Saccharomyces cerevisiae S288C: one gene and its partner. The main gene of each other region encodes a partner of the protein of the gene in region 2 in a complex. Each region holds a gene or a part of one and is shown on either strand. Other genes may lie near its edges. The genes, in order: YTM1 and NOP7.

The links.
Region 1: NOP7 (region 2) and YTM1 share a complex: the UniProt entries of both Saccharomyces cerevisiae proteins name them as parts of the NOP7 complex.

Annotation. Positions count from the first base shown.
Region 1 is NC_001147.6:831,007-834,992, reverse strand, and holds YTM1 (Ytm1p), read right to left. Parts: upstream 2,181-3,986; coding exon 798-2,180; downstream 1-797. Other genes in the region: TPO4 (Tpo4p), read left to right, coding at 1-541; FSF1 (Fsf1p), read left to right, coding at 2,951-3,934. UniProt on the Saccharomyces cerevisiae protein: Component of the NOP7 complex, which is required for maturation of the 25S and 5.8S ribosomal RNAs and formation of the 60S ribosome.
Region 2 is NC_001139.9:693,450-697,734, forward strand, and holds NOP7 (mRNA-binding ribosome synthesis protein NOP7), read left to right. Parts: upstream 1-1,967; coding exon 1,968-3,785; downstream 3,786-4,285. Other genes in the region: rhomboid protease PCP1, read left to right, coding at 1-954; GTF1 (glutamyl-tRNA(Gln) amidotransferase subunit F), read right to left, coding at 1,135-1,686; SRB5 (Srb5p), read right to left, coding at 3,996-4,285. UniProt on the Saccharomyces cerevisiae protein: Component of the NOP7 complex, which is required for maturation of the 25S and 5.8S ribosomal RNAs and formation of the 60S ribosome.

The DNA of each region.
Region 1 (3,986 bases), on a different chromosome or scaffold from region 2:
CTATCCGCCATTAACTGTGGCATCCTGTTTGGCTGCCAATAATCTATTAAGATACGTTATGAGTAGTGTATTCCCATTGTTTACCATCCAAATGTACACAAAGATGAAAATCAAATGGGCAAGCACTTTATTTGCATTAGTTTGCGTTGTGATGATTCCAATTCCATGGGTTTTTGAAAAATGGGGGAGCAAATTAAGACACAAGTCACAATTTGGTTATGCCGCCATGGAAAAGGAGGCTGAGACCGAAGGTGGTATAGATGACGTAAATGCTGTCGATGGTGAATTGAATCTAACAAGGATGACCACGTTAAGGACCATGGAAACAGACCCTTCGACTAGAGAAAAACCAGGTGAAAGGCTATCTCTGCGCAGGACCCATACGCAGCCCGTTCCTGCCTCGTTTGATCGCGAGGACGGGCAACATGCGCAAAATCGTAATGAACCCATTTCCAATAGTTTATACTCAGCTATCAAGGATAATGAAGACGGTTATTCGTATACGGAAATGGCCACCGATGCTTCCGCCAGAATGGTTTGAAAAGGTCTTAAGACAGATCACAATTGCATATATTCAAATAGTAAATTGGGGGATAGCTGGATAAAATTCACCAATTTAAATTTATAGAAGTTTCATACAAGTACACATTATCATAGAAGTATTTTTTTTTTTAGCAAGTAATGTCGTTTTACATAAAGAAGAAGGTGACAGAAATTTGCGAAAGCTGTTGGCAAAACCAAATTTATTTCAAGTATATCAGTACATTATTCTACATAAAAACAACAACAGTTTTTTCTCAGTTTTTGAAAATGTTGTCTCCTTTATTTATTTGAATCTTTTTGTCTTGACCAGCGCTGATAATACCCACTTTTTCAGCCCATTTGACAGCAAAAACTTTGTCATTGACGCCCTTTTGGACCGATTTGTCTTCTCTTGTTATGGTGTACATCGGAGAAGTAGACCTGACGTCCCATACCTTCACGGTACCATCGTGAGAACCCGAGCATAATATATACTCATTCTCGGGACAAGTGTCCAGAGAGGAAACGAAGTTCTTATGACCAATTAGTTGTTGCTGAGTAACTTTGGAAGACGCTCCCACACGTGGGTCATGCAATGTGATGTGTCTGGCGCTGGACCCACATGCTAACAAGTTCAAAGTCGACAATTGAGCAATGGAAAGCAACGAGTACGATGTTGTTCTTGTATCTATACATCTCGCGGTGACCAAATCCCATGTCTTGATGGTATGATCTTGTGATACTGAATAACCAACGGTATTATCTGTAGAATCGAAGATCACTTGCTCAACAGGAGCTGTATGGGATTCTAACAGAGACAGAGGGGCACGTCTTCTAATGGTACCATCTTTCATTGTCAATTTTCTCCTTTTTCTAGCAGCAGTGGATATTTTATTGTTTGGATTGTTTATATCTTCTAATGGATCAACAACTGTCATTTCCTTATAAATAGTAGACCAGAACCCAATAGAATTGTCGTATGATGCAGATAATATTCTTGAGTTGTCTGAAACATCAATAGAGACTACTGGTGCCTTATGACCTTCCAAGATAGCCAGTGTCTTACCGTCCTCTATGTTTACTTCGTCATCATCGTCTTCCTGTGCCTGTTGTTGTGAAGTTAATTTCAAATCATCGTTTTTGGTTTTCCATAATCTCAAAGTACGGTCGTTACCAGCCGAAACTAGCCTTGTATTGGAAATGTATTTTACTGCACGGATTGGGCCAGAATGACCACTGTACTGCTTTTGCACATTACCTGATAAATCCCAGGTGCGAACTATACCATCGTAAGAACCACTAATAATATGCTTGGAACCGTCGCCGACATCCAATGAGCTAACCCAGTCCTCATTGCTGAAACTATTCAAATAGGATGGTGGAAGAATTGCCCTGGTATATTCTACATTCAGCGAGGCTTCGCTCGATAAACCTTTCTTGGTCAAATAGTCGTGCAATGAAGTACGTAACAATTCACCTTCAATCAAGAAATCGAAAGGAACAGGCTTTTCCGAGCCCAACAAGTGATTGACAATTTCGGACAACCCATATCTCTTTAATGAGATGGGGGCGTACATTGGAGTATCTTGTACATGTAGTAATTCATCTTTCTCACGCGTGAAAAACCTGATTTTAACCTGCGATTTATCTTCTGTCATATTGAATTTGTGCAGTTTCCCTTGGTATTGTCTTTAAAACTTTAGGTAACGTATTGGTTCTGCGAACATAGAATATGTCTTTTTGCAATTATACAGATGAGCATATGCCTTTCACTGCTCCTACGGTTTGCGATGAGATGAGCACTTCAGAAAATTTTTGAAAAATTTTTGAAGTACTGGCCGGGTAACAGAAAACTGTCAAACCCTCTTGTGCAAGAAATAAGCTAAAGTTCTCCCTAAGAATAAAATAGTAAAGGAAGCTATTGCTACAGATAAATATAAATGAATGAAAGATATCTCACTCGCGCAGCTACCGATCTGGGCCAATGGGAGACACTAAAAGAAGCACCTGTGAGAAGCGCCCAGAACAGTATGAGGACGCTCATGAGTGTGGGAGTTGCTCTAGCTCTTCTTTTCCCCTCTGATCACCTACGGATGTAAGATGGCACAGTGAATAGAAGGCATGTTTAATATGTATCATGCCTTCTTCGGAACCGAAAATCAAAGATAACTAAAAAATGAAAGAAGAGTAATACTAGAAAAATGATCGCTGCCTCGGCGCTTTTTATACCAATGGTGCCCGAGACGAACGAAAAGTTTTTCTTTCGTACTGGCGTCCGGTACCGGAGCGTACCAGATTGAGGTAATTGGATAAGAGACTGTTAGGTCTTCGCATCAGCTTTACAGTTTTCAAAGGCGTCGACCACTGCAAGTTAGCAATAATAAAACCACACAGCATCGAAAGAAAAAAATAAACAAGGCAGAGAAATATGGCATCATCAGTCCCAGGGCCCATCGATTTGCCCGAATCCCGCTATGACTTATCCACGTATTGGGGTAGAATCCGCCATTGCGCAGAGATTTCCGACCCCACTATGTTGTTAACTACTGAGAAGGACCTGGCGCATGCTAGAGAAATCATCAGTGCGTATCGTCACGGTGAACTAAAAGAGACTACTCCGGAGTTCTGGCGAGCCAAGAAACAACTGGACTCCACCGTGCATCCGGACACAGGGAAGACAGTTCTTTTGCCCTTCCGTATGTCTTCCAACGTGCTATCAAACCTAGTCGTTACTGTAGGTATGCTGACGCCTGGTTTGGGTACGGCAGGGACTGTATTTTGGCAATGGGCAAATCAATCGCTAAACGTCGCCGTTAATTCCGCTAACGCAAACAAATCTCATCCTATGTCCACGTCCCAATTGCTCACCAATTACGCTGCCGCTGTAACTGCGTCGTGTGGTGTTGCGTTAGGTCTAAATAACCTAGTTCCCAGGTTGAAAAACATTTCTCCACATTCAAAGTTGATCTTGGGCCGTTTGGTGCCATTTGCCGCCGTGGTCAGTGCCGGTATTGTCAACGTCTTCCTAATGAGAGGCAACGAAATTAGAAAGGGTATTTCTGTGTTTGACTCTAACGGTGACGAAGTCGGAAAGTCCAAGAAGGCTGCCTTCATGGCAGTTGGTGAAACTGCATTAAGTAGAGTGATTAACGCCACTCCAACTATGGTCATCCCACCTTTGATTTTGGTTAGACTACAACGCGGTGTCCTCAAAGGTAAGTCTCTCGGTGTGCAAACTTTGGCCAATTTGGGGTTGATCTCAGTCACAATGTTCTCAGCTTTGCCATTTGCACTCGGTATCTTCCCTCAAAGACAAGCAATCCATTTAAATAAACTAGAACCTGAACTACATGGCAAGAAGGATAAGGATGGGAAGCCAATTGAAAAGGTCTATTTTAACAGAGGTATTTAGAAGTGAAGAGACAAATTTATATAGTTATAGAATAAATATCAGATAGATAAGA
Region 2 (4,285 bases):
ACTTTTGTATCATATATTGGAAGATCCCAGAGCACGTCGATACTCAAAAATGCTCCCAACTTAGAGGACAATGTCACAAATCTTCAGAAAATTATACCGAAACGGTTCTTTTCTCAAACATCAATTTTGAAATCAAGGTGGAAGCCTATATTCAATGAAGAAACTACTAATCGATACGTACGTTTGAACAGGTTTCAGCAGTACCAGCAGCAGAGAAGCGGCGGCAATCCTCTGGGCTCTATGACTATTTTGGGGCTCTCTTTAATGGCAGGAATATATTTTGGCTCCCCTTATTTGTTCGAGCACGTTCCACCCTTTACGTATTTTAAGACGCATCCAAAGAATCTGGTATACGCGTTATTAGGCATCAATGTTGCCGTATTTGGACTATGGCAGCTACCCAAATGCTGGAGGTTTCTACAGAAGTACATGTTGCTGCAAAAGGATTACGTAACTAGCAAAATTTCGATAATCGGAAGTGCGTTTTCACATCAAGAATTCTGGCACTTAGGTATGAACATGCTAGCGTTGTGGTCCTTTGGTACTTCACTCGCAACAATGTTGGGAGCATCCAATTTTTTCTCCTTATATATGAATAGTGCCATTGCAGGTTCTTTGTTTTCGTTATGGTATCCAAAACTGGCACGCCTAGCCATTGTCGGACCTAGCTTGGGTGCCAGTGGAGCGCTATTTGGGGTTTTAGGATGTTTTTCATATCTATTCCCACACGCTAAAATTTTGCTGTTTGTTTTCCCAGTCCCAGGTGGGGCTTGGGTAGCATTCTTGGCTTCAGTGGCATGGAATGCAGCTGGTTGTGCTTTAAGATGGGGGTCATTTGATTACGCTGCGCATTTAGGTGGCTCTATGATGGGGGTCTTGTACGGATGGTATATAAGTAAAGCTGTAGAGAAACAAAGGCAGCGTCGCCTTCAGGCTGCTGGTAGGTGGTTTTAATCACTTAAAAAAAGACACATTCTCATTCGAAATATTGTAAATACTGCTATGTCTTCTATGTACTTAATCTTATTTATGCATTTGAAAAATATTTCAGCCTTATCGTGGTGGTACATGTACAAGAAAATTCATAGGCAAAAGAATATATAGAATAGAGCGTATGTGTTACTTTTCTAAGTCTTACTTCCTGTTTTTGAGTAGTCCCTCTTTGACAACAAAATATGCATTTTTGGATTCCGCGGCAAGTCCAGTTGCTTTCCAAGATCCGCTAACTTCTCCTAGCTCAGCATCCTGCTTTTGGTGGCTGATGCCTTCAAGTAGCTTTGTGTAGTTCAGCTGTTTCGTATTTCTTTGCACCAACCGAGCATCATATTCCTTGGTGTGCTTTTCACCTTCGACAGGTATGTTATGGAGTTTGTTGATGAATGATAATTGCTTGGCAAGTCGCATTTGAATTTCTTTAATATCTGCTCCTTCCAAGGGAAGACCTGATAACCGCAACAATTTTTTTACAGCTTCAGCAGACGGTGGCTCTAGTTTTTCCTCTTTAGTGTTTATGCCTAAATATTCGTGGACGGACCATACAGGTCTTGATAAATAATCCCTTATTTGATTCATATTTTCAAATTTTTTACCAATCTTTGCCCCTCCCGTAGATACGAACCGATGACTTCCATCATGGCATAACCCACCCACTGTATGTGTTCTGCATAGACGCCATGTTTTGTACATCGTTCTAGCACTATGGGTAAGTGCAAATAGTTCGATCTAAAAGCCTAAATGCTAGTCACTATTACCTCCTTGATGTTATATTTACAGAATAATGTCATGTCGTCTGTGGTGACTATTATTATTGCCTGAAAAAATTAAAGAAAATTTTTTGCGATGAGATGAGATGAGAAAAAATGAAAAATTTTGGAAGGTTAATTAGAGATGTGTAGTAAATCCTGCTGGTGGAATACATTTTATTCCTGTAGAAAATAGTATAGTAACAGCGGTATCCTACTTATACAATGAGAATCAAGAAGAAAAACACCAGAGGTAACGCAAGAAACTTTATTACCAGATCTCAAGCTGTGAGAAAATTACAGGTTTCTCTTGCTGATTTCAGAAGATTATGTATATTCAAAGGTATCTATCCTAGAGAGCCAAGAAATAAAAAGAAGGCAAACAAGGGCTCTACTGCACCAACTACTTTTTACTATGCTAAGGATATTCAATATCTAATGCATGAGCCCGTTTTGGCTAAATTTAGAGAACACAAGACTTTTGCTAGGAAACTAACAAGGGCTTTGGGTAGGGGAGAAGTCTCTTCTGCTAAAAGGTTAGAGGAAAACAGAGATAGTTATACTTTAGACCATATTATCAAGGAGCGTTATCCAAGTTTCCCAGATGCTATAAGGGATATTGATGATGCTTTGAATATGTTATTTCTTTTCTCTAATTTGCCCTCTACCAACCAGGTTTCCTCGAAAATTATCAATGATGCTCAGAAAATCTGTAATCAATGGTTAGCCTATGTTGCCAAGGAACGCTTGGTTCGTAAAGTGTTTGTATCCATTAAAGGTGTTTATTATCAAGCCAATATTAAGGGTGAAGAAGTTAGATGGTTAGTTCCATTCAAGTTTCCAGAAAACATCCCCAGTGACGTTGATTTCAGAATTATGTTGACCTTCTTAGAATTCTACTCGACTCTATTGCATTTCGTCCTATATAAGTTATACACCGATAGTGGGTTGATTTATCCGCCAAAATTGGATCTTAAAAAGGATAAAATCATAAGTGGTTTGTCATCATATATTCTAGAATCCAGACAAGAAGACAGCCTACTAAAACTTGACCCAACTGAGATTGAGGAAGACGTAAAAGTTGAAAGTTTGGACGCATCGACATTAAAGTCTGCCTTGAATGCCGATGAGGCAAATACTGATGAAACAGAAAAGGAGGAAGAACAAGAAAAGAAACAAGAAAAGGAACAAGAAAAGGAACAAAATGAGGAAACGGAACTAGATACTTTCGAGGATAACAATAAGAACAAGGGTGACATCTTAATACAGCCAAGTAAGTACGATTCTCCTGTTGCTTCTTTGTTTTCTGCATTTGTTTTTTACGTTAGCAGAGAAGTTCCGATCGATATTCTTGAGTTCTTGATCTTATCTTGTGGTGGTAATGTCATCAGTGAAGCTGCTATGGACCAAATTGAAAATAAGAAGGATATTGACATGTCCAAGGTCACTCATCAAATTGTTGACAGGCCAGTTTTGAAAAACAAGGTAGCTGGCAGAACGTATATTCAGCCACAGTGGATATTTGATTGTATCAATAAAGGCGAATTGGTACCTGCCAACAAATATCTTCCAGGGGAGGCTCTTCCACCTCACTTAAGCCCATGGGGTGATGCTATTGGTTACGATCCAACTGCTCCTGTCGAAGAAGGCGAAGAAGAAGAAAGTGAAAGTGAAAGTGAAAGTGAAGATCAAGTTGAGGAGGAAGATCAAGAAGTTGTTGCTGGAGAAGAAGATGATGACGATGACGAAGAGCTACAAGCTCAAAAAGAGCTTGAATTGGAAGCACAAGGTATCAAATATTCTGAAACTTCAGAAGCTGATAAGGATGTCAATAAGTCAAAGAACAAAAAGAGAAAGGTGGATGAAGAAGAAGAAGAAAAGAAATTGAAAATGATAATGATGAGTAACAAACAAAAGAAACTTTACAAAAAAATGAAGTATTCTAATGCTAAAAAGGAGGAACAAGCTGAGAACTTAAAAAAGAAAAAGAAGCAAATTGCCAAACAAAAAGCTAAACTGAATAAACTAGATTCCAAGAAATAGTTTTCTCTTCTTTTCCAATAGCCTCTCAAAAATTTTGTCTTTTAATTTAACATCTTTATTACTTTATAATTCCTCGGTATAGCAACATTAGATATATAACTACACATTTTTGTTTGTAGATATAGAAATACCTGTACATTAAAAGTGGTTACTGTTGTTCTGTATAACTATATGAGTGAATTTTGTAAAAATATGCCCAGGTGCCAATGATTATATTAGAATATTTCCATGTGCTACCCTCGAGTCCATTGACTGTCTATCGGGTACACTTAACTCTATATAGCCTTGTAGTTCCTTTTTTAAGTTCATCAAGGCAGTCTCTGTATAGTTTATACGATCGATATCGGTCCCCCTACTAACATTGATGTATGCTTTTAAAAGGAACCCTCCGCTTGTTATTTGTGAATTGCCTGCTTCTTCTATTTGCCAAATTTTTTGTAACTCAAGTATTAAACCATGCTTCATAAAAAATTTCACACCAATTGTAAGATACTGAAATT